Linked DNA regions of Alligator mississippiensis. The protein of the gene in region 3 binds, or shares a complex with, the protein of the main gene of each other region. Links are inferred from orthologs where the notes say so. Each region holds a gene or a part of one and is shown on either strand. Other genes may lie near its edges.

What was found.
Region 1: KANSL1 (region 3) and PHF20 share a complex: the UniProt entries of both Homo sapiens proteins name them as parts of the NSL complex. The link is inferred for Alligator mississippiensis from reciprocal best matches to the Homo sapiens genes KANSL1 and PHF20.
Region 2: KANSL1 (region 3) and KANSL3 share a complex: the UniProt entries of both Homo sapiens proteins name them as parts of the NSL complex. The link is inferred for Alligator mississippiensis from reciprocal best matches to the Homo sapiens genes KANSL1 and KANSL3.
Region 4: KANSL1 (region 3) and KANSL2 share a complex: the UniProt entries of both Homo sapiens proteins name them as parts of the NSL complex. The link is inferred for Alligator mississippiensis from reciprocal best matches to the Homo sapiens genes KANSL1 and KANSL2.

Annotation. Positions count from the first base shown.
Region 1 is NC_081832.1:36,719,414-36,726,272, reverse strand, and holds the start of PHF20 (PHD finger protein 20), read left to right. Parts: upstream 1-3,841; 5' UTR 3,842-4,252; intron 4,253-6,859. UniProt on the Homo sapiens protein: Methyllysine-binding protein, component of the MOF histone acetyltransferase protein complex.
Region 2 is NC_081830.1:10,566,588-10,573,605, reverse strand, and holds the start of KANSL3 (KAT8 regulatory NSL complex subunit 3), read left to right. Parts: upstream 1-4,004; 5' UTR 4,005-4,088; intron 4,089-4,558; exon of another isoform or gene 4,559-4,562; 5' UTR 4,563-4,595; coding exon 4,596-4,810; intron 4,811-7,018. Other genes in the region: ARID5A (AT-rich interactive domain-containing protein 5A), read left to right, coding at 1-558. UniProt on the Homo sapiens protein: Non-catalytic component of the NSL histone acetyltransferase complex, a multiprotein complex that mediates histone H4 acetylation at 'Lys-5'- and 'Lys-8' (H4K5ac and H4K8ac) at transcription start sites and promotes transcription initiation.
Region 3 is NC_081827.1:158,971,405-158,978,865, forward strand, and holds the start of KANSL1 (KAT8 regulatory NSL complex subunit 1), read left to right. Parts: upstream 1-4,459; 5' UTR 4,460-4,475; intron 4,476-4,586; exon of another isoform or gene 4,587-6,186; 5' UTR 6,187-6,320; intron 6,321-7,461. UniProt on the Homo sapiens protein: Non-catalytic component of the NSL histone acetyltransferase complex, a multiprotein complex that mediates histone H4 acetylation at 'Lys-5'- and 'Lys-8' (H4K5ac and H4K8ac) at transcription start sites and promotes transcription initiation.
Region 4 is NC_081838.1:6,530,240-6,537,677, forward strand, and holds the start of KANSL2 (KAT8 regulatory NSL complex subunit 2), read right to left. Parts: upstream 3,004-7,438; 5' UTR 2,920-3,003; coding exon 2,672-2,919; intron 58-2,671; coding exon 1-57. UniProt on the Homo sapiens protein: Non-catalytic component of the NSL histone acetyltransferase complex, a multiprotein complex that mediates histone H4 acetylation at 'Lys-5'- and 'Lys-8' (H4K5ac and H4K8ac) at transcription start sites and promotes transcription initiation.

The DNA.
Region 1 (6,859 bases), on a different chromosome or scaffold from region 3:
TTCTGTCAGGGCTGGAAAGAGAACGGGATGGATGCCAGATGAGAGCAGAGCCCTGGGATTGCCAAGATGCTGGTGAAGAAACTCTGGGCAGCAGAAAACAGGTGGAATTTCCCCTTGGGAGCCTGGAGAGGCCCTGATAATTTAAATGCCACCACAGAGCCTGCAATGGCGGGGAGCAGGAGGGAGCACCGGCGAGAAGCATAGCTAGATTAATGCACGGGCCAGTTGAGCACGAGCCCAGGGGCCCCTACCAATTAGGGCCCCGGGATCCTCATCAGCAGGGAAGTGAAAGCCGCAGTTTTAAACTCTGCGCCTATCTTTGGAGCCAAGTTTAAAACTGTGGCTTTCACATTTCTTCCCTGGGATCTGGAAGTGGGGCCCCTGTGACAATGGGGCTGTGGGGAGGGTCCGGTAGGGCTGGGGTTGGGCTGAGAGCGCCGTGCCGCGCCTGCGGGAGGGGTGGGTTAAGTGGCACCATGTCGAGGAGAGAGGGGGCCGAGACAGGCTGGGAGAGTTGTGCCCCACCTAGCGAGGGGGGTGGTTGGGGCTGGGCCGGGCTAGAAGTGCTGCACTGCACCTCTGTGGGCGGTAGTGCTGGGAAGACCTTGGTGGCTATAGCCCCACAAAATTCATCTTGGCCCCCCCACAGCCACCCCTCCCAGTGCCACCGCCTGCCTGCAGAGGCATGGCGTGGCGCTCCTGGCCTAGCCCAGTGGGCCCTCTGCATCTGCGGGGCTGCACAGGACATCCCAGCAGCAGCTCCCTGCAGGTCTGTGTAACCTGGGCTGGGCGGGGAGGGAGACTGAGCTGCAGGCAGCTTGTGGCAGGGGAGGGAAGGGTGGTGGAGGGGAGGGGAGGGGAGGGGGGACAGAGGGCTGCCTCCATGTGATCAGGAGTGAGGGGAAAGTGTGTGTGTGTGTGTGTGTGTGTGTGTCTGTCTGTCTATGTGTGTGTGTGTGTCCATGTGCAGAGAGGGCAGAGTGCACATGCCTGTGTGTGTCTGTGTACACCTGTGTGTGCACATTTGGCTGTAGTGGGGGCAGGAAGAAGAGGCGAGCATGTGCCCTCCAGCTTGGCAGGGTCCACCTAGCCTCTCCCACCAGCACTAGGAGAGGAAGGGGCCCCTCCCCCCTGCAACCCAGCTCCCATGGTGGGAAGGGGCCTCCAATTTTGTGATTGTTCAGGGCGCCAGTATACCTTAATTTGCCTCTGGCAAGGAGACATACCAAGAGAATTGGCAATCATGGGAGCTGGCAAGGCTCCAGGTCTTCTTGGTTCAGTTACTTTTACTTTCATTTACACTGCCACGGAGTCTGGGAGGCTGGGCTGCCACCACCTGAAAGAGGCGAAGAGAAAGGCAGTGCTGGCCCTGTGCCAGAAGCACATGGGTAAGTGAACCGACTCCAACACTCACAAGGAGCTGAGTCTATAAGGGTGGGTGGGCTGGCCTGTTGCGCCTGGGGAGCTGGCAGGTGCTGCTGAAGCCTTGATGACAGATGGTGAAGCATCCAAGGCTGAGAAATGCCTAAGATGTAGATGAAAAGGATCAGGGAGACTGACATATTTCTTTTTGTGTTCCTTTTATTTGTGAGGGCTGGGCACCTAGGAATGAACTGCAGCCCTAAGGACCGAATTACCTCATGGTTAGTGGCCTCCAGCCACAATGACCCTAGGGGCTGAGACTTACCTGAGTTCTGTTTCCCTGTTTTGTGTTGTCCTTCATTTCTCTTCTGTGTATCAAGCTGTGACCAAATGATTTGAAGGCTGGCTCAGCTGCAGTCCCCTTAAGCCAGGCTTGGGACAAATGCAGGCACACAGGAGCAAAGAATGGAAGAAGATAGCTCACTGAGAGCACAACATACACTGTAACAATGGGGTGGTGCTTGGAGTGGGTATAAGGGAGGTAGAAACCCCAAGGAAGAAACAGAACCAGCATATCTAGGACTTCATGCAGCAAAAATAGAGCACCTCCTGACAAAGGCATATTCAACACTAAGATGTGGCAGGTAAGAATTGGGTGACCTCCGCTGAGTGCTAGAAGTGGGTGAGTCTGTGTCCTCATGGCCCAGTCTCACAGGATGCAAGGGGCTGCAGCCTTACTTACACTGTGCTGACAATAGGCACCAGAACCAATTATCTAAAAAGGCTGAGTAATCTCTCTGTCATTGCAGGTTTTTACGGCTACAAGCAGATGTCACATTTGTCTTGGAAGAAAACATATTCCCCCAGGACCAAGTGTTCAAATTGTACTTGTCCCCCAGGACCAAGTACAATTGTCTTTGTCAGTTGTCATGGGACAACACCCCAGAAAAGATTTGTGGAATAAGTATTGTTTGTTCCAAAATATCATGACAGATGTCTGAACAGTTGTCCCAGGACATCATCCTGGGACAAGCTGGCCAGCTGGTCCTCCAAGCATCCTACAACATGGTGGTTCAGCTTAGTTCCCAACCCTCTTGAACGTGAAGCCACTATTGCCCTGATTACAGAACTCTGCTGCCCAGAGGTGACAGATGAGGGTGGCAACCTGGGGTCTATTAATGGGTCTGCATGGAGATATACCAGTGGTTTCATCCTTGCATCCACCCAAGATCAGCACTGAAGCCTACATCCACTCAACCAACAGCAAACTGTCTTCTCACCAGGGATCTCCAGCCACCTAACTATCCAGCACCAAGGAGGTCACTGGATCTAGCTACCACCCAGGGGCAAGTGCATCCTGTACAACCACATGCCCTTCAGCTTGCCTCCACTGTGCCCCAGCATGAAAGAGCAGGGTAGCAGCTAGCTGCAACTGGGAGAAGACAGAGGCTCTCAGAGCCATCTGGGGGCCTCGGGTCAGGCTGTGGATTGGATGCCACCAGGGGATAAACCAAAGTTCCCAGAAGGAACCTATTTAATAAGAAGACCCCAGGGTGGGTAATGCTAGTGCTTCTCTGTTTAGTGCCTTGATGCGTTGCATAGTTTCCCTCACAGCAAGCCTGGCTCCTTGACCCAGAGGCTTGTGTTCCCAGGATACAAAGATGCCCTAGGGCTGATGACCAGGGGTGGGAGGGGTGGTGCTGAGCGCACTGCAGGGGCTGTACTGGGCAACACTAGTGGCAATGTGTAGGAGGTGCATGAGGGTGCATGTGTACCCCCTGAGCATGGCGGTGCACCCCCTGCCAAAAGGGCCGCTGACAGTGCCTGCGGGCGGTTGCCGGTCATCACCCCCCTCCCCCCTTGCTTTTGTCTGCCGGCGGTCCCTGATCACCGCTGGCTGCTGCTGACACTGTTGGTGGCATCTGTGGGTGGTTGCCAACTGGCAGTTGGCACTTGCTACTCCCCCACCTATGCTGTGGCTGCCTGTGGGAGCTCCCTGCTTGTCGCTGCCACGCTCCTGCCACCTGCAGGAGCTCACCACACCCTCCCCAGCCTCTGGGGGCATGTGGCACTCATGGGTAGTGCCCAACAGTGTTGCCAGGTCTTAACTGTGAAATGATTGTATTGAAAGCTAAAAACTATCATATTTGCTGAAAAACTATCATACATTGAAAAATATGCAAATAAGGCTTCTTCTTATTTACTTTATATTACTCTCTGTAAGTGCCAGCAAGTGGGTGAAACTGGGTCATTAAAGTTGAAGCATTTCTTTATTTTGAGACAAGCAATAATAAGAAAGTGCTGATAAACCCAGAAGTCAGTTAAAGCTCCCTGAGAGTGACTTAGGTTTTGCATACGCTGTACCAATTAGCTGCCTCAAAAATTATCGTACATTTTGGACACTTTTACAATTGCTCATCCTACGTTCTACGAGGTTGAAGTTCTCGAACAAATGGTCTCACCTCCATACGCCCGCCCCGCCCGCAGGCTCCGGCGCCTCCCTTCACCTCGCGATCACCCTGCGGTCCCGCCCCCGAGACCCGCCTCGCTCGCTAGCCCGCGGGGAGCCGGGAGGCCGCAGCCGTGGCGGCCATTTTGTTGCGTTGCTTGGCCGGTGGCGCGGGCGTGTGTCCGGGTGCCCTTGTCTCTGCAGTTTGTCCCGTGCAGATTCCTCGGGAAGGAGCCGGCAGCACCCAGGCCTCGTCAAGCCCCTTTCCGGGGCCGCCTGCGGGCGGGGGAGGCAGGCCGAGCCCAATCCCGACCCGCACGCACCGCCCCCACAAAGTGGGGAGGGGAGGACTGGACCGGGCCGGGCGCCGTTCGTGGCCTCCCTGACTGCGGCGGCGGCCCGTGCGCGGGGCCGGGTCGCTCGGAGCTGCCGCGCGGACAGGTGAGTCTGTACGGCCCGAGCGCAGGCGGCGGCGAGACTGGGGCCCGGCCTCGCCGGACGCCCCCGCAGAGCCCGCGCTGCTGCGGCTCCTTCACATGGCCCCTGCGAGCGCGGGAGGCGGCGCGGCCGCGCTGCGGCTGGGAGCTCCCGCTGCCCTGTTGCTGCCGGGGCCGCTCCCTGCCTCCCGAGCCCGGCGGCTGCCGAGCAGCAGCGAGGGGCGAGAGCGGCGCGGCGGGTCCGACTGCGGCGACGCAGGAGCCGTAGCGGCTAGTGGCACAAAGACTTTTCCCCCTCTTCTGGGGTGACGTCAGCGGGAAGGGGTGTTTTGGGGGCAAAATGGAGCCTGTTTGGAAAGTTTGTAAACCGGCCTGTGCTTTTGCAGTTAAGTGCAGAGGAGGAGGGCGGCAAAAGCAAGCTAAGACACGCCCCGCGTTTCCGCTGAGCAGGATTTTTATGAGAACGGGTCTTCTAGTGGCAAAATCCCGAACTGGTGCCTTCCCCTGGCTCATTTAACTTTCCTTACACTGCCTTTGTCAAAGAACCTAGCTATGCATCGCAGCAGCTACCTGTGGCCCCTTGGCAGAGTGGACCAGTACACCAAGTTCTAGTTTCTAGAACAGTGGGTTTCAACCTTTTTTTTCATTTGCAGACCCCTTTGAATTTTAAGTGTGGGTATTTTTGATTCATCATAATCATCTTTTGCAGGCCCCTTAGACATAGATTGCAGACTCCTAGGGGTCTGGAAACCACAGGTTGAAAACTGCTGTTCTAGAAGGCTTGAATAAATTAAATTGCAACCAAAAACGAGTTGGATTACAGAACAAAAAGGGCATTCAGGAAAATTTAATCTGCTCAAGCAAGGCATCCTAATTAGTAATGTAGGTAGGCTAGTTAAGAATTGAAGCAGATTGGCAGTAGTGTCTGATACAAGGTATCTCTGAACCAAGAGTTCTAGAGAGGTTTGTTTTTTGTGGGTTTTTTTGGAAAAAAAATATTTAGAAAGCAGTATGCATCTTTTAATTTAGCTTTGAATAATTAACTTCTCACTTTGGAAAACCATGGAAAAATTCCTCTGCCCTTGATTTATTCTGATTCCAGATTTTTAAAGAAACTTTAACTAAAATTATAACACGTTTTTCAAGCACACTTCCATTATTGGTAGAGTGGATAAATTAAATCAAGATGGATTGTAATTTACATTTTTGAAACATCCATGTGATATGGAATTTTAGGTAGTGTGTGATATTGTGCAGTACACCAAAAAATTGCAGCTCTATTTGAAGCTAAGTATTTTGTCATTTTACTTAATTGAAACTTACCAAGTTTGAAGTTAGACTTAATGGCTGCTTTCAGACATGTCTGAACAACAACAATCCCTCCCCCCCCAATGCTTTACTGGAAGCAGTAGCGCATTATTACGACCTGGCCGCTGCAGGATCTGTATAGATAAGGCGCTTTAGCAGGGCTTTGTCGCTTTTATCTAAAGCTGATTCAATTGGCTATTAGGTAGAAGCCGCAACAAGTCACAGTAAAGCGCCCAATCTATAGATGCTGCAGAGCTGGGTTGAATTAATGCGAGGCCTCTTCTAGGCATGTGCTGGGCTCAGTGCAGGAGTGCACTAAGTTTAAAGTGTGTGTCTTGGGGTTTTTTTTGCTTTTTTTTCTATATCTGCAAGCAGCCAGTGTTCTTTTCCTGTTACTTGTCTGTTAGTGTTTTTTTCTCAATGGAAATGAGACTGTTTACCTTAATCATTTTGAGAGTAAATTATTCCAGGTTGTAAATCTTCATTTGTGAATAAGTATGGATTCATTATTACACACGTGTCTGAATGCAGGCAGTAACTGTGATAATAGAAGTCTTGCGCTATACCAAATGCCCATTTTTCTTTGTCCTGATCAGGTTCTCTGTGTTCTTTCCCTGAAAACACTTCTTACTCTAGTTCTCTCAGTTCCTTGTTGATCTCTTAAATATTTGTATTTGACATAAATGAGAACTTGTTAGATTTCTTGAACTTGTGATTCCCAGGAATAAAGTAGTAATTTTGAATACAAAACAAGATGACATGGACTATATAGTTTGGAATACACAAACTTTATGGATTGCCATTAGATCTGTAGGCTTCATTCTATAAAATGAGGGTTCATAGCTGTCTGCTTGGTGGAAGTGTGTGGGGAAGCAAGCATATTGCAGGGGCGATGATGAGTCTTCAGTCTTACCTCCAGTTATTCACGGTCTTTGTAAGGGGGTGGTACACACCTTTCTGGGCCAAACGTGCTTCTCCAGCAAAATATATGATCTGTATTTCAAGTCACCAACACAATTTATTACGTAAGTACTAGTAGCAAATGAGTGAAAATACTAGTTTTAGGATGCTATCTTCCTTTGAGGGGAAGGTGGTGGGGGGGGGAGGAAGTGGCCCGCCCACACCCAGTGCCCTGCGTGGTAGCTGCTTGCAGCCTGTGTGGGGCTGCCTGTGCTTGCTCCGAACAGCCCCATGCATGCTGCAAGCAGCTGCAGCGTGAGGTACTGGCTGTGGGGCCGGGGGAGGGGCTGCCCCCCCCCCCCTGCACTCAGCTTTTCCCTGGGCTCCTTCCCTGCATGGAGAA
Region 2 (7,018 bases), on a different chromosome or scaffold from region 3:
AAGGCTTTGGCCTTCCCTGCCAGCAAAGCCTGTTGGGTGGCTCCCATAACCAGCTTGGCTAGAGTCAGCCCTCAGCCATCCAAGCCTGGGCAGAGCCCGGGGCTGGGCAAACGTGGGCCAGAAGATGGCAGCTTTGGCCCTGGGAAGAAGCTGAGGGCCGTGTCCCCGTTTGTCAGGGAGGCAGAGCCGCGGGAGGCTTCGCCTGGCCTAGCCAAGCCACAGGCCGTGGCACCTGGCTTTCCCACACTGCTGCCACCACCCGGCCCAGATGCCTACACAGGGACGATGCTGAGGTTTCCACTGAGCTTGGCTGGCTCCAGGGAATCATCGCCACTCACACCATCCCTCAGTCCCTTTGTCATCCCAGCCTTCCCAGGCCCTGTGATCACTGCCTCTGCCCAGGCCTCTGAGCTGTGCCGGCCACTGGCGACCAGCCTGGCACACTACCCCACATCGTATGACAGCTCACAGCGGCACCGCCTCTATCCTGTCGCCACATGGCACAGCCAGCCTGCCTATGCCTCCCCCCACGGCTTCCACCGCCCCACCAAGCTGTAGCCTCTGGCCAAGACATTCTGGGCCAGGACATAGGGGCTTGGTGTGATGTACCAGGCCACCTGGGAACATGTGATCCACCCACATAGGATCCACCATAGCTACGGATCCCACAGTCACGTGACAAAGGGCCAAGGGAAAGCATCACATGATCCGGACCTTGGGACCATGGAACTGTTGGGATCTGATGCTGTCCCCCTTGACAGGGCTCGTGTAGCAATGTGTTATGGGAAGGGGCTTTATATAAAGTCAGAGCATGTTGGAGGGGTCTCACAATCGTGCTGTGGACTTCGGTGATAAACCTGCCTGAGAGGAAGAGAGCCCCTGGGGTCTCCTGGCTCTTGGGAGCCGGTGCAGGGCAGGGGAGGGGAAGGGAAGGGGACCTGTGGCTAAATCAAGTGGAGTTGGGTATGCAAGTGTGTCTGAGTAAGCATGTGTGCGACACTGGTGAGTATGACTGTTTGAGTGTGAGATGGACTGAATGTGTACGTGTCTGTACGAGTGCACATTGTGTGACTGCGTGCTTGTCAGTGTGTGATACACTGAATATGTGTGTGTGCATGATGGACTGAATGCGGGTGTGTCTGCATATATGATAGTACATGCAAGTGTGTGATGGACTGAATGTGTCTGTGTCTGTGTGACTGTTTATGAGCATGTGATGGAGCGAACGTGCATGTGACTGCAAGGGTAGGATTGTGCATATGTATTGTGTGCATGACTGCATGTTTGAGTGTGATGGATTGAATATGCATGTATCTGTATGACTGCATGTTTGTGAGGGTGTGACAGACTGAATGTGTGGGTCTCTGTGCATGCGTGTCTGTGTGTGTGACAGGGTCAGGAACAGGCCCTTTCAAAGGAGGCGGGCGCTCCTATATCATATTGTCTGCAATATAATACACCTTGGTTTTGAAAGGCAGAGCAAAGAATAAAAGATTTTTTCTTGTACCGAGTACTGGAGTAGCAGCAACCAGGGATCCCGGCCTGCTCTGTGTTCTGCTTCTTGGGGATTGCAGCAGGTTTGGCGCTTAGTTTCACCTACCAAATGGCAGCCCTGTGCCCATGTTTCCCGCCTATTCCATGCACCCAGTTTCTAGGGGAAGGGAAAAATCCAGTGCTGCTGAGAGATTGCTACAAGTGATCAACTTTTGGGGCAGGTGTGGCCCATATTAAGCCCTGCCTCTTTCTGCTCTGGCCCTGCCCCCCCAGTAGGCTTCATGTCACAAGGGTGCAGGACTGGATACTACCATGGCTTTTGGTTCTGACAGGATCCCTTTGAGGATATGCCCATCAGGGACCTGGGCAACTAGCAGACAGTGTTAGCTCAAGAGGTGATGTGGTCCTACCACTTTTTTGCCTTGGCTTTCAGCCCATGGGTCTCCTTCTGGTCCTCTGGCATCCCACAGTGCTCTGTGCTCTCTTGTTCCAAGGGGTGTGGAGGGTGAGTAGTCACTAGGGGCCAGTGGCACAGTGCCATGAATGAGGCTTTCCTCTGTTCCTGGGAGACTGCTAAGTGTCCCGCCTTGTGGGGAAAGGCTGAAAAAACGGGGGTGATGTAGCTTGGGGAAATGAAGAGTGAGGCCAATTTGATCACCTTCAAACCCCTGAAGGATGACGACAGAGAAGATGGAGGTGGGCCGCAAGGGACAGGACTAGGAACCATGGCCTCGAGCTGCAGCAGGGGAAACTGAGGCTGGAGATGAGGCACTTTCTGACTACTGGGATCCAGCCTTGGAATGGGCTGCTGGGGGGGGAAATTTCCATTCCCCAGACGTTTTCAAGTGCAGGTTGGATGGACACTTGGATGAACTGCTTTAGGGAAGGCTGATTCTGCCTACAGCAGGGGGCTGGACTGGATGGGACCTTGTAAGGCCCCTTCCAGCCTGATCTTTTTCTAGGTCCCTACTGCATATAAACAGCTAAGGCATGTCTCAGCTGTCCACAATGGCCTTCTGGGACATGGCAAGGGGTTCTGGATGGGAGGAGAGCAGTGGGTGTGCTAGAGCTTGACTCGAGCAAGTGTGGTCAGAGTTAGACTCACAGGGCAGCCAGGCTGGACCAGCCCCATCCAACCCCTGCTGACACGTCCTTGTCTGAGCTGTTCCTAACACCACACAACACTCCAGGGACCTTGAGAGCCCCCGGCTGTGTCCCAGGTGAATCCAGGAGAGGGCTGGTGGTACCCTGCTGCTGCTGGGTGGCTTCAGTGCCCTTGAGAGACCTCAGGCAGAGACTATGCCCTTGCTGCAGAGGAAGCCAAGCCCCCCCCTCCCCCCCCCCCCCCTTTGTACCTGTGTGACTTGGTGCAGGGGTGGGCAAGATTTCTGACCTCAATGTTGCATCAATGAGACCCTGAGTGGAGGGGCAAGACCTAGCCGGAACCCTCTAGATTTGAGTCCCAGCAGAAGTACAGGCCCAGCCCAGTCACCTTCCCAGCAGAGCCCTGGGAAACGCCAAGACCCTCCCTGTATTTGCTGGGGGGACAATGCTCTTGCCCAGGCAGCCATGCAGAGCTGCCCTTGGCCACGAGGTGGCATCATGCCTCCGTGTACCCGCCCCCTGGTGGCCATGGGCAGGGCAGCTGTTGCTTCCGTGGCAGTAGCAGGGGACCAGGGGGGATCAGGGTGACAAGTTGAAGTGGGGGTGGAAGATGGGCCAGCCTGGGAGGGGGTGGCACTCGGGAGGGATTAGGGCCAGTTTGAGCAGGTGCCACTGACTCCAGCGTGGCCACGAGCTGGCAGTGCTGCGATTTGGGGGCTCTGGGGGCATCATCTCCAGGCAAGACCCTCTAGCTAGGACCCTCCAGCATTGAGTCCCAGCGAGAGCTTTGGCCAAGCCCAGTTGCCCTCCCCAGCCTGGGCCACAGCCAAGGCCCACCCAGTGCTGCTGAGGAAGAGGGAAACCCGCCATCCCTGTAGCAACAGAAGAGAGGAAAATGCCTTCCCCACCTGACATTCATAGATTCATAGATGTTAGGGTCGGAAGGGACCTCAATAGATCATCGAGTCCGACCCCCTGCATAGGCAGGAAAGAGTGCTGGGTCTAGAGGAAAGAGTGCTGGGTCTAGACATGGTGACTAGCAAGACCCAGAAGCCTGGGACACTCTCCCTCCATTGCTGGGGGACCTTGTATGCACCAGGCAGCCCCGGTGCTGTCCCGCCAAACCAGGGGCGGGCTGGGCTTTCACAGAAGGACCTGGAGCTGGCTGCCAGGGGTGGCATTTGGACATCTGGGCCTGGGTCTTGTGGGTGCTGCTGGGCCAGGCTGGGGTGGGCGCAGGCAGAGCCACGCCGCTGCCCTGGGCACTAGGTGGCAGCTCTCGTTCCCCTGCTGGCCCCGGCCCCGGCCCCGCCGCGCTCCAGGCTCCGCTCCGTGGATCCCACACTCCGGGCTTTTTGGTCGGCGCATGCGTAGCAGGCAGGAGACTCCGCTCCGGGAATTCCTCGTTCCGGGCTTTGCGGCCGGCCGGGCAGTGGCGCGTGCGCAGTAGGCGGCAAGCCCAGGCCCGAGGCGGCCGCGGGCCTTGGGCTGTGAGTAGGGTCTGACCCGGGCCGGGGCCGGGGGTCAGGGGTCACGAGGGACTGGGAGTAGGGAGCAGTGGGGAGGGCGCTGGGGTCATGGGATGCGGGGCTCATGGCTGCTGGGGCACGGGGGTGGCAGGGATCGGAGGGCCCTGGGGACAGGAGGAGCTGGGTCATGGAGACCCTTGTGGGGGAGGGGTGCTGGGGCCAGGGACGTAGCGGGGAGCAGTTTGGTGCTGTGGGCAGGGGTCACCAGCGCTGAGGGCAGGAGGTATTGGGTATGGGTATGGGTCTGGCTGGCGGAGTCAGGGTCATCATGGCGGTGGGGACGGGCCGTGGGCCACTGGGTGCTGGGAACTCCTGGGCAGCAGGGACACAGGGCGCTGCTGGGGTCTCTAGGGCCACAGGTGAAAGGGGAGAAGGGGCCAGAGCACCAGGCCCATTTCCCTGTCTGTTGCTCACCCCCTGCCTCTCCTAAGTCAGGCAGCAGGATGCGGGGCTGAAGCCCACAAAGATATGTGGGGCCGAGCCACTGAGCGCGACTTCCAGACGTCAGCCCACAGGATGGGGACCTCTCTGCTCTTCCAGCTCTCTGTCCATGAGCGTGAACTGGACCTGGTCTTCTTGGACCACAGCTACGCCAAGCCATGGACCGCCCACCCCGACGCCAGCAGTGCCCGACCCACCCGCACACTTTTTGTCACACCGCGACGGCACCAGGACGCTGCCATGTAAGCCCAGGCCTACTCCAGGCTGGGGGACACTTTCCCAGCAGGCATAAATACCCCTGTGGTTTCTGGGGCAGGGCATTGGCCAGGCCTTCATCTCCTCTGCCACTACCAAGGAGTCCTTGGTGCTTCTGGTTTTGTGTAGTTGTGGGGCGTTTAGCCGAAGAAGACAAGGCTGAGGAGTTCTCAGATATCTGAAGCGTCATTCTGCAGCAGATGGGGGTAAATTGTTCTCTGTGGCCGCAGGGACAGAGCAAAGAGCAATTATCTTAAATTATGGTAGGGGACATTGAGGTTGGAGATAAGGAACTTTCTGACCACAAGGGGGTCTGTCTCCGGAACAGGCTGCCCAGAGAGGCAAGGAATCTCAGCTCATGGTCCCCCTACTTTACCTGGAGCTGGTTCAGGTGTGATGTCTTGTGTGGTGTCAAGGTTGACAGCAGTTTTATGAAGAGTTTAGATCATAGATTTGTTGAGGATGGTTTGGACAGGGCTGATCCTGCCTCAGGCTGGGGGTTGGACTAAGTATGATATCCAGAGGTCCCTTTTAGCCCAACTGCTCTGTAAGTTCTATGATCTGTTGTAATGGGATAGTTTAGTAAGGCCTATTTGTTGTACTGAAGGGATGGTCAACCAAGACCTGCCAAAGAAAACTATGAGCCTCCCTCCATGAAGGAGGCCACTGAGGACACAATAGCTAATTACAGGGGGCAAAAAATGAAGAAGCAGAGGTGGGAGTGAAGTCGTAGCTTATTAATGAGGGATCTAAAAGGGGCCGCTAAGCAGAGGACACCAGCCAGTGGTCACTGCCCCCCAGGTGAGTCTCAGGAGCCTGGGATGCCTACCTGGCTGGGGTCGAGCCTGGTTTTCTTCCTGCCCAGGCAGGGGGTCGGACCTGAAGATCTGCATGGTCTCTTCTGACCGTACTTCTATGATTCTATGAAAGGGCTTGGGTGTGAAGGACCCATTGTCTTCGGGGGCGGGGGGGTTTGCCCTGTACAGGGCGTTGCCCTGTAGCCTGAACAGAGCAAAAAATTAGGAAAGCAATTTTTGTATTAAAGATACAGTGAGGGTGACATAGCCACTATGGTCCAAAATTATGTGAGAAACAAGGATTTCTTAGGGTGATGGCTTTTGTTGCACCAGTGATGTGCTCGACACCCAAAAGAGGTGCCTCACAATTTACAGGTCTCTCTGCAATTCTTTCCCTTCTCTTTGTTACACCTGACATCTAAAGCTAAGTAATTGGGAGAGAGCACCCTTAAGAGATCGAAGAAAAACATGAGAACAAAGCTCTAAGAATCGGTATGGAATGCAGTGGCTCTCAACCGTGTTGGACTCCAGGTTCCCTTTGGATCATCTTTCACTTGCTTCTCAACTTCAGAAAAGTACTAGAGCAATTCTTCCATTGCAGAGAACTTAGAATAGCCACAGCAGAGCAGGCAGGTTTGGACACACTGGATTCCTACTGGAAGTCTTTGGGTTTCTCTTGGCGGTCACATGGAGGTGTTTGCTCACCTGACCATGCTAATAGTGCCCTGCACCCTTAAAAGGAAAGCACAGGCCCCTGGTTGAGAAGCACTGGAACATGCGTAAGAGCCAAGCCTCCCTCCTCCTTAGTAGATTTCAATCTCATTGTAAAAGAGATCTTTACAAATCTGGGTTCTTCAAGTTACGTGTGTTTGAACGAGGTCTCTGGTAGCTGAGCTTGGAACAGGTGAATCAGCCTGTTCGATTTTACTGCCTCTTTCTAGTCAGTGTCTGTCACTGGCTTCTCCTGGGTTACCTATGCAATGGGCAGTTGCTTCCCACAGGGGAAGGGATCTTTTTGGTGTGGATCCCTTTGTTCTAGGACTCATGATTCTCCCTGTCTCATTTGCCTTTATTGTTTAGCTTCTGTTCTCTCCGTTACTCTCTAACCTTTACCTCTCTGGCATATGGGAGATTGGTGTGTGGGGATTAAAACAAAATCTGAGAGACAGTATTTTGTCAATGAAGGGTGTTTCAGTTGGGTTCTGCAGGGGTCAGTACTAGACTTGGAGTAATATAAGGATAATACTTTGGTTTTTGATATATTTATCACCCAATAAATTCAGATGAGAAAGTAAGGACGGCTTTTTGGTAGCAAGGGCCAGTAAGTACTATATCACTTACTTCCCTGGGGAAGTTTGCTGGATCCTCTGTGTCATCAGACCAGATCAGTTGCCTTGT
Region 3 (7,461 bases):
TTTTATTAGACCAGCGCAGATAATTGGAAAAATTATTTGTATCAATCTTCAAGTTTTAAGTTTAAGCAAGGTTTAAATACCCTTCATCAGGCTGAGGAAGCATCTGCAGTTGGTGTGTGCTCTTTCTGGATGGAATGAATAGTAAAGAAGCCAGAGCCTGGTATGCATGCAAGAAATGCAGTCAGTGAAGATGTAAATAGAGGAGTCAGTGGGTGAGAGAGAGGCTGGTGGCGAGAGGGAGAGAGGGATGCATGTAGCAGGTAAATAGTGGAGAGGTACCTGGGGAGTCAGATGTCAGGCAGGTTATAATGTGTCATAAATCCAGTGTCTATATTTAGTCCATGATTTTTTGTATCCAGGAGGTTGATCAAGTGAAGTGAAGTTCATCTGTGAAAAGTGTTTTGTAAATTCCCTTTGAGGATTAGAACTGAGAGATTGGAAAGAGAGTGGTTTTCATGTGAGAAATTTGCCCCCCACCAGTAATTGGGTATTTTTGGTTCCATCTAGGTTTCCAGTGTGCGTTCATTCTGGTGTGCAGTTGTTGTTTGGTCTCTCCTACGTATTTTCCATCAGAGCGTTTGGTGCATTGGATGAGATATATTACATTTTTGGATGTGCAGCTGTAAGATCTGGGACTGCTGGTGGCTCTGTTGTGGAGTGTAGTAAGTGTGGGGGTGGTGGAGGTGTGTTGGTAGGATTTACATTTCTTGTCATGGCATGGTCTGGATCCATTTGGTGTGGTTTGTGCCCTAGGAAGTTTGCGTTTCGTGATGAAGTTAGTGAGGTTCGGTGCTTGTTTGAAGGCTAGGATGGGTAGTTCTGGGAAGATCTCTTAAGAACAGGGTCTCCTTCTAGTATGGGTTACAATTGTTTGAAGATTTTCCATATAGGTTCGAGGGAGGGGTGATACGTCATAAGCAGTGGTGTGTGATTCGTGGGGGGTTTTCTTCTGTATTGCAGCAATTCTTCACATGGTATCTGGATAGCTGCAGCACCCAGTGGCCACAAGCTGGCTATAGGTGGGCCTGGGTGCTGCCAGGCCTGTTAGATGCCTGCAGCACCCTATGCAGCTGGATGGCATGGCCCTGGCAGCCATGCAGTGATGCAGTGCCAGGGAATAGCATTGGGGTTCAGGCAGCCTGTCCTGGGGAATGCAGTGGCCACGGGCTGCCAGGAAATGCCCCTGAGCCCCAGCATCCCTGCAGCCCCAGCGTCCCTGCAGTCCCTGGGGCTGGGACAGGCATAGAGCTGGCCCAGCCCTGGGGTAGGAGAGGCTCCCAGCCTCAGGGCCCTGGGGCTAGCCTGAGGCTGCCCCCCTTATGGTGGGGCTGACTGGGAGTAAATTTGCTCCTGGTCAGCATCTACATGTGCGCTATTGCGCAGTAACTAATTGAGAATAAATTTGCTACTTGTATTTGCAGGTAGCAAATTTGCTTGTGATTAGAGCAGTTTACTGTGCAGTAAGCATCTGTACATGTAGACACGGATGCTTAATGTGCAGTAATTTGCTCAACTGCACAGCAAAGCATCTTGTGTAGATGCACCCAGTGTTGACAATATAAGCCTTAGGCCTTATATATAAGCCTAAGGCCTTAGCCTTAGGCCTTATATATGTCTTAAGACATATACTCTAAGGAAGAGAATAGAACAGTGATTCACAAACAGGGGCCCACAGATATTAAGGGTGTTGTGCCTTATTGAAAACTGTTAGGTGTGCAAATACATGAGTCACAAGATAAACCCAGAGATTTGAAATGGGTATCCATAGTATCAGGGAGATTCTGACCTGTTATTTTCTTTCTGAGATTTTTAGAACAGAAGACTTGCTCTATTATTTTTTAGTAGTCAAAACGTTAACCTAAGAACCAGCATTTTGTGAGGGGTAATATAAAAAGATGGATAACCACTGGCTAAAATTTCCTGACAATAGGATTCGAATGAGTACTGTGAACGCACCATTTTCTTAGAGTGGCCATGACCAAAACCAGAGGATTAAATATGGAACTACAGAATTTTTCAGCTTCTCATCCTTCCTTGTAGAAAGAAGCAGTTACCCATGCTAGTCTGAAGTTTGACAGGAGGTAGGGCAGGATAGCATAACAGACTAACAACCCAACACAGCTACCTACCTCTCTAATGTGCCACCCTGCCCTTTATCCTTGTGTGTCCTCTCCTTGGCTTAGCTCTGCTTTCCATCTTCATTTGTGAAACAGAACGGTTGGAACAGCAACCACAATTTTAAAGGGAAAAAATAATCACTTTTCAAAGGGAAAAGAATAGTTTCAGTTGAATGCAAGGAAATATATATAGAGGGCTTTGGCAATGTGTCTTGAAAGGGGTAGGTATTTATCTCAGTATCAGTCAGGATGGTACCTGTGAACTGTGCTGTCTCAGGCTGTGACAGCCAGGTGCATCTGGACACTGGTAACAGCAAAGACAAGGAAAAGATCCTGATGATCGTCATGACCATTCTCTTTGAGAACCAGTGGCAGGTTTTTAATGGTATCTGGTATCATTTGATGGTCAAGGGATATCTGTGTCAAACACATCACGGGTTATTGCTAATACGAATGAGGGGATGGATTGAAACTCCCTCACACACACCAAAGTCACAAAGACAGTTAATGTCATTAAATATTACCCATCCCAGCAATTATATACCACATTAAAAACATTGTTTGAAAGTGTTTTACAGTCTGACAACTGTGCACATGTGGTAACCATGCACGGGGTCCTGTTTCTCTTCTCTCCATAGTGTTGCATTGCAACTTCTTAACCCCTTTACCCAGAGCTAACATAGGTTGCATAACTAACTGCGTGGCTTAGCCTGTGCTAACATATGCCAGCCACATATTCATGTGGCTACTATGTGCAGAATCCTCCAACTCTGCAAAGCCATAATTTGAACATTCTGCAGAGACGCTAGGTATTATTATATTACCTGCTCTTCTGTTATCATTATATTGTCACTGTGTGCCTACTGGGGCTGCTGTTATTTTGTCTTTTTTCTTTCCACTTTCTTCTCTCTTCTTCCTCTCTGTCCTTCATTGGTAGCATTTCTCTTCATTCCCCTTGTCTCACCCCTTCCTAGCTCTTCCTCCTCTACCACTATCTCACCTATATTTATCTTCTCTTGTCCTACTTAGGTACAAAATTATACTTTTGTCCCTCTAGTATATACTCTGCTACTATCTGCCTTCCACTTCTGCAGCGGGACAGAGGAGAAACAGCTAAAATATTAGTCTAACAGCTACCTATAGTGGCAGCAAACCTGTCTATAGGCCTGCCACTTGTAGCCCTGCCTGCTTCTATCTGGCTGTTTCCTGCAGCAGTGGCTGCTCACATCAGAGTATTGTACAGGTGGTGGCTGGTTTCATAAAATCACAGAAAGCTAGGGCTGGAAGGGACCTCAGGAGGTCATCTAGTCCAGCCCCCTGCTCCAAGAAGGACCAGCCCCAACTAGATCATCCCAGCCAAGGCTTTGTCTAGCCAGGCCTTAAAAGCCTCCAAGGACAGAGAGTCCTAACAATGGAAAACAATCCTTGATAAGCATTTGCACTGCCCTGACCATGGGTGACTGGTGCCTCCCGAGTCTGGGGGGGCACCAGTGGGGCACGACGGGGCGGGTAGCCAATTTCTGGGGGGCACTAGCACTCTCTGTGCCCCCTACCAGCCGGAGCGCTTGCTGTTGGGGGGGTGGGGGGGGTGCCCCCTCTACGTGTTGCCTGTGGCCCTGACTAACTGCCATTTGCCCTGACTAACTGCCGTTACTAACTGCCCCGGCTGCCCTGGTAGTTCCTTTGGGTGGCGGGGCTTTGGGGCAATGACCAATACACTTTGTGCCAAAGGAGGACAACACAGCTTTCTGCTTGTTGGGAAAGCAACAGGGACCGGCCCTGGATGGCCAGGGCCACCTGCCCTGCTGACACGGCTCTCCTTCCCCATGGCGCCCAGCTCGGAGCCGCCTGGTGCTGCCCGCGGGGAGCTGCCCCCATCTCCCTTCCTTGGTCGGGCCTAGGTGGGGCGTGATGGACTGTGTCGTTGCTCAGAAAGCCTCTGAGCTCCGGAGGTGTCCGTGTCCCCGGCGGAGGCCTGCGGCCCTCAGGCGGGGCAGTCTGGGCACCCCCGAGCAGAAGCAGGGGCACGAGGCTCCCCTGCCGCCGGGGGCATCTCCCCTCCCCGCCGCACGCAGCCCGCGGGACGCGGACACTGAGGCAGGGGCAGGGGCCGGGCCCTGCCCCCCTACCCCCTTCACACATCTCGGGGAAGCACAAGCGGAGGCAGGGACCAGCGAGGCGCCCGCATCAATCACCGCCTTGCCCCGCCCCCGGCTCTGACTGACACCCCCTCCTCCAACCCCGGCGGCCCATGCCCTGCCCGCAGCCAATGAGCGCGGAGGAGGGCGGAAGATCCCCGCTTCAAGGCTGGTTGAGCGGTGCAGGTAGGTGCGGGATGTGGAGTCGTCGCTGGGGCTGGTGCGGTCGGGAGGAAAACGGGGCAGCGCCCGGGCCGGGCGACAGGGCTGGGCTGGGGCCGCGGGTGGGCGGGCTAGGCCGGGTCGGGCTGGTGGTGGGGTGAGGCTCGCAGGGCACCCGCCGCCTGCTCCTGCCTCTGCCCCAGCCCCAGCCAGCAGCAGGCCAAGTAGCGCCCGCCGCCCGCTCCGGCAACTTTGCACGAGGAGGCGGCCGGGCTGGGGCTGGGGCTGGGGCCGGGGCCGGGCAGGGCCCGAACTTTATTTGCTCGCGGTCTGAGCCCGGTCCTGCCGCCGAGCGTCGGGTCCGGTTCGCTCCGCGCGGGCAGCGGCTGCTGGGAGCGAATTGAGCAGGCCGAGGCCGGGGGGAGGGGACAGGGGTTTGCTTCCAGCACAGCCAGAAAGTGAGTTGGGTCGGAGGAAAAGGCAGGGCGAGGGAGACCGGGAAGTTTGAAGCCCGACGTGACATGGGAGTAGGAAGGGGAGAGCCGCGGCCAGAGGAAGAGCTGTTTTGTTGCATTCGCAACAATGGGGATGGAGAAGGGAGCAGGCCAAGTGCTGGGAGCAGGGATGGGGCAGAGGGGATCCGGCACAGAGGGCTCCTCTCTGCACCAGGCCTGTGCCAAGAAACCACAGGATTGCCTCCCTGCAGATCAGGCTTTTAAAAAGTGTCTGCCTTAACGTGCTGGATTTGAAAAGGGTTTTGAGTGCTTGGCACACAGTTCCCTTGTAACTTCCCAACTGCAGTGAACCTGAATGGGGCATTTGAGTTTTTGGGGCTTTTCAGCCCTTGTGGTTTTGAATCAGGCTTTACATTTTGATGGCTTGTAAAACAAGGGGAAAAAAATTCCCCACAACAGCTAAACAATTTTCAGAAGCAAAAGAAGTTAAGAGCTGGCATTGCTGGAGCAATAGCAGCATAGGACTAAGGGCTTCATACACTACATTTGAGGAAATGAGGTAGAAAAGATGTCTGTTGTCCCTTCTTGTTTTGGCATCCCCATTTTACCCAAACATAATTAAACAAAACTATCAAATTCCAAGCTTCCAGATGAATGCTTTGCATTTAGCTTGTCTAACTTGGTCCCGATTATAGTTGGTCAAATTAAAAAAAAATATAACTAGAAAAAAGCTTTGCCAGCTATGATATCATTCTAAAACTTCCAGGAAGCACTCCAGAAAGTTGGGTTTTTTTTGGTTGTTTTAACACCTCTTTTTCCCCCCTCCTCCCCCCCAACACGTGCACACACCTTCCCCTCTTGCTCCTCACTAAAGTCTTTATCATGGTAAAAACATTTTACTTTCAAAAGTCAGATTATTAAATATGATAGGAAATTAAGTGGTTCAGGTAATACAGAGGGAAATTCAACAAATGTGGTTTTTATGAGTCTGAGGAAGTTAGGCACTCAAATCTTGATCTCCTTCACATTCTTTTGGATCCTCTACTTAAATTGTTGATCTATACCCTGTACAGATTTTTTTTTTTGTATTTTTCAATTGCTTTGGCTTAAAAGGTACTGGAATGTGTCAGTGCTCAATTTGCTGTGATTTATTGTAGAGCTCACTTGTGTACTATATTCCATATTTGTGGCAAGACATATTTTTAATCATATCCTCAAAATCTTTTTTTTTCTTGAGGCAAGTTGAATATTGTCATGTATGTTTTGTTTGTAAGCTATATTTATTTCCTCTGTCTTAATATATTCTTGTTCTAGATACCAAGTTTCCACTTCTTAAAATAAGCTAATAGTGCATGGTTGCACCTGGAAGAATTAAACTCCCTTGCTCCTCCATCCTGAGCCTTTTCTGAACCGCTGTAGACATGGATTCTTCCAAGATGGTCTGCAAGGTAGGACCTCTCATTCTTTCAAAGTTGTAGTGGCATATTTTTCTTAAAGATCTATTAAACATTCAGAACTATCTGAACTGTGAAAATCATCATGGTATTTACAGGCTCTGTTCAGGAATCAGATTGTTATTTATGTCCAGACGAAACTTAAGAAGTGGGTTCCCTTTGTAATTTCTTTATGGCAGATAATCCTAAAATAGAGATTTGGGAATGTGTCTAGAAATGTTGGGTTCTTTACAGTGTTTTTGAATTTTTTTTAACACATGCAGCTGCTTTTGTATGTGTGTGCTTGATGTTCAGCCTAATTTTCCTGGTCTTGTACCTGGAATTCCTGGTACACTGATTTGACACACCCAAAATTTTATAACTACCATAAAAATGGTCTCTTTCCCTGTTTTATACACTTTTCAAATGCTTGTATATGCCTACCGTGTTCTTTGTTGACATATTTGCTTTGAAGAAGTAGAGCATTATATACAGGCATCCCGCATCTTACGTGCATTTAACTTGCGCAAATTCAACTATACGTGGGTGGGGAGTGGGGCTTGAGTCTGCAAGTGGCGCTGCCGCTTACCTGGAGGCCCAGCCACCACCACGTTGCCAGCGGTGACTGCCTCTGCCTCCAAAACCTCCCGCCGCCGCCATGGAGCCGTGCCCAGAGCTGTGTGGCCAGCTGCCAGGTGCGGTGGTGGCCAGGTGGCACACAGCCATCCCCACCACCACCACCCTGTGCTGCACTGCTGCCGCCAGCCGCACAACTATAGGCGCGACTCTGCAGTGGTGGCGGGAGGTGTTGGAGGCAGAGGCAGTCGCCGCTGGCATGGTAATATGTGATTTCACCATACGCGATTTTCGCCTTTACGCGCTGCCTTTAGAACGTAACCCCCGCGTAAGATGTGGGATGCCTGTAAATAGCACTAATGATGTAAGGTCTACAGCTGTCTTTTGCCAATATATTTGCATTTAATTAAAACCTAAGATGAAATCATAAAAAGGTTAAGGACCCTAAAATAGGAAAGAACCAAAATCTTGCCCTTGGCTGGATTTCTTTCTTTTCTCCATTGTTTTGACATCCAGTTCTCTTTTCCTCCCCATCTAAGCTAGACAGGCCAAATTTAATTCTACTGAAGTCTGGGTCATA
Region 4 (7,438 bases), on a different chromosome or scaffold from region 3:
ATCTGAGCTTGAAGCGCCAGGGCATTCCTCCGGGCGTGCTCGGCACAGAATGACACGCTGGGGGGAAAAATTAAAATGCTTACAGCCCTGAGAGTTTGCAGCCATCCAAGGAGATATGCAAAGCAATGCACGGGTGGGCACTCACTGCCACATGGCTGGAAAGGGCATGAATTCCTCCCCTCCCTGCTACCACCCCCAGAACATAGCCAGCGCAGTTCCTCAGTATAAGCGTCCCAGGTGATTTCCAAACCACATACATGACTGCTGAATGCAGACCTCTTGCACCTGAGTCAGTAGCGTGCTGAGGCCTGGAGATAAGCCCTTACTCTTACAAGTAGAAGGCACAGGATTCAAACACCTAAGGTCTTCTTCTGGACCTTAGGAAGTCTGCAGGAAGAGAGATCTGCCGACTGCAACAAATCCTCATGCCTGCCCCTTTTCAAACCATGCCGGGTTTGGGTCCACAAGCTAATTCAACTCCTCTCCTGGAAAAAGGATCCAGGGCAACATCAGAACTGGGATTTGAACCCCAGAAGTCACAGAGAGACTAGGTGATTCGAAGCCTGGTGATGTCTTGTTCCCCTGATCAATACCAGCCTCAGGTACCACAAGCTTCTTTCCATCCAAGGACCTCCAAACACTTTACAACGGTTAACAAACTTGTAACTCCCCCCAGACAATTACAGCTCCCGAAAAACAGAAGCAGCGCCAAGGTCAGACCAATGCCACCTACCCAGCAGCCTCTCTCTCAGCGGCAGGGGCAAATGTTTTGGAGGGAGCGCACCACACCAGACCAATCAAGAGCAGCACTTCTCAACGGTTTGAGACTAGAGGCACCCTCATTAGATGCAGGGCACTCAGAAAAACACCAACTCGTTTTTTTTCCCAGCATTCGCTCATTTTTTTTGCAACAGGAAAATACTAGAGCTGTCCCTCTATTGCAAAGAACTCAGTTTTTAACGCCACAGATTCCTATTTAGACCTGCAGGTTTATCTTGTGACTCCTGCACACGCACAGACAGCACTAAGGTTAAGCAGCACCCCTGAAAGGATCTCCCGGCACCTGGGTAAGACTCGTGGCTCTTAGCCCCCATTTATTACCCATCGTTACGGGGCTAGAGATGCCAGAGGAAACATCTCCAACCGCTGCTACTATCTCTGTAGTCCGTGAACATGCCTAAGCCCAGTGATCCCCAGCCCCCTGGGCCGCCTGGCAAAGCTTTCTCAGGGGTGCCGTGCCCGCGAGGCGTGCCAACACGATTCCTGGGAGAAGCCCAGAGATTTTGTGCAGGGATCCTCAGCCTTAAAGGCCACGCGGATCCGGGGGTCTGCCCGAGTGCCCTGCCATGGAAAAAACACCCCTTGTGTTTCTGTGCAATTGAGAAAAAAGGGAAAACTAAGAGCTGACATTTTTGGGGGGGGAAGCTTAGGGGTCATCTATGGAGGGGGGGCCTATAGAGGAAGGGGTCTATGGATGGGAGGACCTCGGGGGGGGAACTTTATGGGGGTCTATAGATGGGGGGGACCCTCAGGGGGGTCTAGGGATGGAGGACTATGGAGACAGGATGCCCTTGATGGGGCTATGGACAGGGGGGCTACAGAGGAGACCTTGAGGGGGCATCTTGGAGGTCTTCAAGAGGAGGCTGGATAGTCACCTGGCTGGGGTCGTCTGACCTCGGTCCTTTCCTGCCAGGGGCAGGGGGTCGGACACGACCGTCCATTGTGGTTCCTTCCGACTCTACAGTCTAGGACTTCATGAAGGAGAACCCCCCGGGGGTGTCCGTGGACAGGGCGCACCTCAGGGTGGGGGTCCACGGGCAGGATGACTCTTGGGGGGTCTATCGTGGGGAGATCTATGAATGGGGGGCACCTCAAGGGCTTCAAGGGGGAACTTGAGGGGTGTCTACTATAAGGGGGGCTGAGGGGGGGCTTGAGGGACTATGGGGGGGGTCAAGGGCTGCCTGAGGGGACCCTTGAGGGGTCTATAGAGATGGGAACCTTGAGAGGCTAAGGGGGGGCCCTCAAGGAGCTGTGGGGGGTTAGAAGTGTCTATGGGGGGGCCTTGAGGGGTTGAAGGGTATCTGGGGGGGGCCTGAAGGGTATCTATAGGGGTAGATATTGGGGCAGTCTATGGAGAAGCCTTGAGGGGCTGGGGGGCGCTGAGGGGAGTGTCTGTTGGGGGGGGTGCATGGGACGCTGGGGGGGGTGTCCATGGGGGCCTGCGGGGGGGTGTTGGGGATGCTGGGGAAGGGTGTCTGTGTGGGGTGCCCATGGGGGGTGTTGGGGGCAGTGCAGGGGTGTCCGGGGAGGGGTGCCCATGGGGGGTGCTGCAGGGGTGCTCCATGGAGGTGTGTTGGGGGGCTGGGGGGGGTGTTGGGGATGCTGGAGGGGGGTGTCCGTGTGGGGTGCTGGGAGGGGTGCCCATGGGGGTGCCTTTGGGGGGTGTTGGGGGGGTGTCCGGGGGGGTGCCCGTGGAGGGGCTGGGGGATGTTGGGGGCAGTGCAGGGGGATGTCCGGGGGGGTGCCCATGGGGGGTGCTGTGGGGGTGGTCCATGGAGGTGTGTTGGGGGGCTGGGGGGGGTCTGTGGGGGGGGTGTTGGGGGCGTTGCGGGGGGGGGGGTTGCCCGTGGGGGGCCGCCCTGGGGCGGGGCGGGGCGGGGCCGGCACGCACCCATCCTTGCGGTCGGGCTTGGGGGCGGCGGCGGGGCAGCGGCGGCCGGTGGCGGCCGACACGTAGCTGCAGGCGCGGAAGGGCGCAGCGCGGTCCTCCAGGATGTGGCGCAGGCAGAAGTCGCGGCCGTCGAGGCGCGGGCGCGAGCAGGCCCGGGCGGCCGAGGCGCAGGCGGCGGGCTCGGGGCCCCGCGCGGGGGACAGGCGGCCGCGGCCCGGCGGCAGCACGTGGATCCGGATCCGGTTCATGGCCCGGCGCGGGGCGGCGCGCACACGCGTGGGGCGGGAGCGCCCGCTCGGATCGGGGCCGCCCCTCCCCCCGCCCGCCTCACGCGCGGCCCCTCCCCGGCGCCGCCATTTTGTCCGCGCGCCTGGGGGGGCCCGCCGCGCCGCGCCGCCGCCATCTTACCTCGCCGCGCCGCCCCATTGGCCCCGCCCGCCGCCAATCCCCGGCGGGGAAGGGGGCCGCCGCTGCGCGGCCATTGGAGGGAGCGGCTGTCACTCAGCCGGCCGGGCCCACTCCCCGGAAGTGTAGCGTGGGTGCCCGGCGCCTGGGGGCAGCACGTGGGTGCGCGGCTCAGCCTGGGCTGGGCCCGTGGCGGGTGCTCGGGGCTACCCGCTGCTTTCCCTACGGAAACAACCCCCAACTCCCCTCCTCGTCCCCCAAGCCGCCGGGCGGCGCTGGAAGAGGCACCTGCCGGCCCCGTGGCAGCAGGGGCAAGAAGGTGCCCTTTCTCCTGCGCTTGTGCCGTCGCGGGAAACCGGCAGCTCTGCTTGCCTGGGCAGGCCGGGGGAGGAGGCGACGGCCCCCGGCTTCCCTCATCACCCCGCTCTGAGCCTCTCGTCCATCATCTCTACATCATACAAAAGAGAGGGGTGGGAGGGCAGGAGGTCACACCTAGCCCTGGGGTTGCCAACCCCCAGCAGCGCATTGGAAGTGGGTATATACCTCCAGGGGACTGCTGAGTGGTCATCTGTAACGGGGATGCGCCAGTCCATGGACACGTTGGCATTTTAGAAACCTCCCACGATCGATTGACATAGATGATGACCCTAAGGCCAAACCCCAGCTTCAAGCAGGACCAGCCCCAGCTAGACCATCCCAGCCAAAACTTTGTCAAACCAGGTCTTCAAAACCTCCAAGGCTGGAGACTCCCCCGCCGCTCTAGGTCATACCAGGTGTTCAAAGAACCGGGTCTGGTGAGGAACTACCCTGTCCAGGAGAGCCAGGAAAGCCCCTTCAAGAAGAAACAGAGGGGCAGAATACAGCAGCGGCCCCCCCACTCCCTTTCTCCTTCACAAAATCATGGACAACGAAGGCTGAAAGGGACCGCAGGAGGTCACATCTAGTCCAACCTCCAAGCAGGACCAGCCCCAACTACATCGTTCCTCATCTCACACCTGAGCAAGGACCAGTTAGAAAGAAAAGCCATGGACACAGGTGAATGCTCGGTTGACTCCTTTGCCTTTACACTTTTATTGATGTGGATAAATACAGAGAAACATACCTGACAGCAAGATACTGAACACCTGGGAACCAGATTAATTAACCCACAAGAAGCCCTTACTGAGGAGTTGTCACATTTTGTAAGGGGGGGGGGCAAAAAGGAAGGCAGTTTTTATGGGGAGGAGGGGCGGCAGGAGGGCAGGGAACCCCAAAACGATCTTTGTAAGCACAAGGCAGCCCTGAGTGCGAGATCAGAAAACAACATTTTGCTCTTTGGCTTCGTAGGGGTAAGAAGTGACATTTGAATCAAACCTCGGGGCTGATCTGAGGCATGTGTAGCACTTGTGCGTATCCCCCCACTCAACATCCTGCGATGCGGGCACCACCCTGAACGCGCAGGGTGCAAGGAAGCAACAACAACAGCTTTAAAAGCCGTCAAGCACCCTCCCAGCTGGACAGGGTGGCAGCGAAGCCCTCGGGCAAGCTCCCCCCACCCCACGTGGCCCCTGGAAGGAAAATGGGTTGACACTGGAATTTTTGCAGCAGTCAGATCTCTGTTTTTAAAAACAAACGTCCAAAATTTTAAGTATTTCAACCTGTCCAAAGGTAAACAACAGGAGCTCCCTTCAGGGCACGAGTCTCCCACCTCACGAGGCTGAACAAAAGTTTCTGAAGTCACCGACATGCAGGGACAGGGCCACAACCAACTCGGTGGCTCCCCGTTGAGCATAAGATGAGCCGATATGATGGCAGGAGGCTTGGGCAGCAGTGAAAGTACAGAGAGTGGGTCCTTCTCTCCCCCTCCTGAGGCTTTCCCAGCCACCCCTGCTACTCCCCATCTAGTCAAGGCTGCCCCTGCTCTGAGAGCACCTGGGCCAGTTCCAGTCTGGGACGTTTCAGGCTGGATGGAAGTGAGAGTAGCCTCGCCTGCACCAACAGCATCCCCTGGCTGAGCAAGGCAAGGAACTTGCATGCAGAAGGGCAGAGTAGGAAATCCAGCTCAGCACAGCCCTCCCTCCAGCACCCAGTAACTTAAACCATGTCCTTCTTCATCACCACCAGGAAAATCCACCTGAGCATCACTGTGTAACAGTGACAACTTTCTGTTCCAAGACTCTGGTCGCCACAGAATACCAGGCAGGTCAGCACCAACAAGACTTCTTTCACACACACACACTCAGCTGGGCCATAAGCTCCCATCTACCACCCACACTTAGCACCAAACCAGGCACGTAACAGAGCACAAGAAATCAGGTCCTAATTCCTCGTGTAAGATGAAGATAAAGAATGCGGTAAGATAAAGCCTAGGGGCAATTTTAGCTGGTACCAGAGATGGTCTGCCCTCAGAATACAAACTGCTCTTCCACACGGATCCAAGCTGCATCCTGGGCACCGTGAGGGTTTCCCATGATCCAAACCACTTTCCTAATTCACGACTGTGTCAACCGATGGAAGACGGGAGGTTTCACCATTTGGATCCCAAATTCTAAGCAGCTCCCCATCCTTTACCAGAATCCACAACACAGGCCAGGAACATCCAACCCTTTGTTCCTCACACGCCACCACCTGTGAAGAATCTAAGTTCAAAGCTGCTGTGAACCAGGTAAGAGCAAGAACTAAATGAGAGGAAAGACCCTAGGATTCTCATTTTACCGCTGGCCTCTCTGGGAGCTAGTAAAGCCAAATGCTTGCTCTCTATTGAAGATGTGGTCATGAGATGCATCTATTTCTACCAGAGAAAAGAGCAATACTCTGGTCCCTTGGTTCAGATTCACAGCTGTAGGTGACATGTATGCAGCTATTTTCATTTTTTAAACCAGTACCTCTGTTTCCAAAACAGGTACAAAGGAACAGCAGCACCTTTTTATCTCAAGGGTCAGCTTCATCCAGCCCCGGGACAGAAGATTGCATCTGAGTGAGAAAACAAGCTGCTCCCCTGATAAAAACATTTTGGTAGGGAAAAGGCAGAAGAGTCAGACCAAAAAGCTTTTGGTCTAGAAATAAAGTAGCCGTGCTGACAGCAGGGGGGAGGGCAGCAGTTTATGGTTAAAAAGAAAGAAATCCAGAGTGTAATGCAGAACAGGTCAAATTTCACAAGAGCATATGGAGAAAATAAATACAGTGGCAACTTGGGAAATTATCTGAACCACGAGGGAGAAGTCATTAGTTTTTCTGCGAGTAAATGGAAAAGAAAAAAAAAAAGCATGCCCAACACTGCTTGGATTCCCCTGCTCCAGGGCTCCACCAGCTGCCAACACTGGCACAGGAGTCCCTCGGGGAGCTGTTCCTGGAGGCGCCCTGCACACAGGGCCAGACACAATGGACTTCTCTAGCCGGCACAATCTCCGCTGCCTGACAACGCCGAACCTACAACTTGAGGCATGCACGGGCTGATCTGAAGAAGTTCCCTCTCCTTTTGCCTACTCTCTAGTTCCTTGTTCTGATCTTGCTTTCCAGGGGCAACTGCACCAGGTCAGAGTCTTCTAGAGGTTCAAACCCGTGTCGGACCAGCCGACTCCACTGACTTCCACCAGCTTTACTCCAGGGGAACAGCAGAGGCCACACGGCTCGTGCATTTTGCGAGATGCCGCACAAAGGGACAACTGCCCCGCACAATGCAGACGCTATGCACCAGAGACAGCGCCTGCGAACTGGCACAGCCGAGGCAAAGCAAAGCAAAGCAGAGCAGCCAGAGGCCTGACCAAATGCAAGGAGTCTACTTAGTTGTTATTTCCATTTTAGCACCTTTCCTGCTATAGCCACGTGCAGGGGCTGCAGACACAGCCACCTCCCCCCCCAAAAACTCAAGCCATTTCTAGGCACATGCCTGTATGGCCAGATGACATGGGCTCATGAATGCCAGTAATACAAGAGGTAACACCGTGGGACCCAGACAACTATACTGGGGGTAGGGGTGCAGGGAAGACACAGATCTCGGCCCCACATGCCAGCCCGACTCTGGCCACTGAAACAACTCAGCCCCAGCTGCCTCAAAAGACTGTTGAAGAACAAGTCACGTCATTTTTCTTTAATTAATTTGCATAAAAATCTCGTTCCATAATGACACTGAAGTACATTTTAAAGCATCCGAAATCACAACCCCAGTTTGAGCCCGTCTGGGGCACAGCACCTCTTTTCCTTTCCTAAGTCTCACTTCCACTATTAGGCAGCGTTTATCTCAGCAGGAGACTGGAGCAAGGACCTGGAAGGCACCTTGCTGCTGTTCCCACCACCGGGGTGTCAAGTCCTGGCCCCTTTGTGAGTTTGGCTCGGCACCCGCTCCTCCCCCTATGCTCCCCAGACATGCTTTGTCACTAAAGC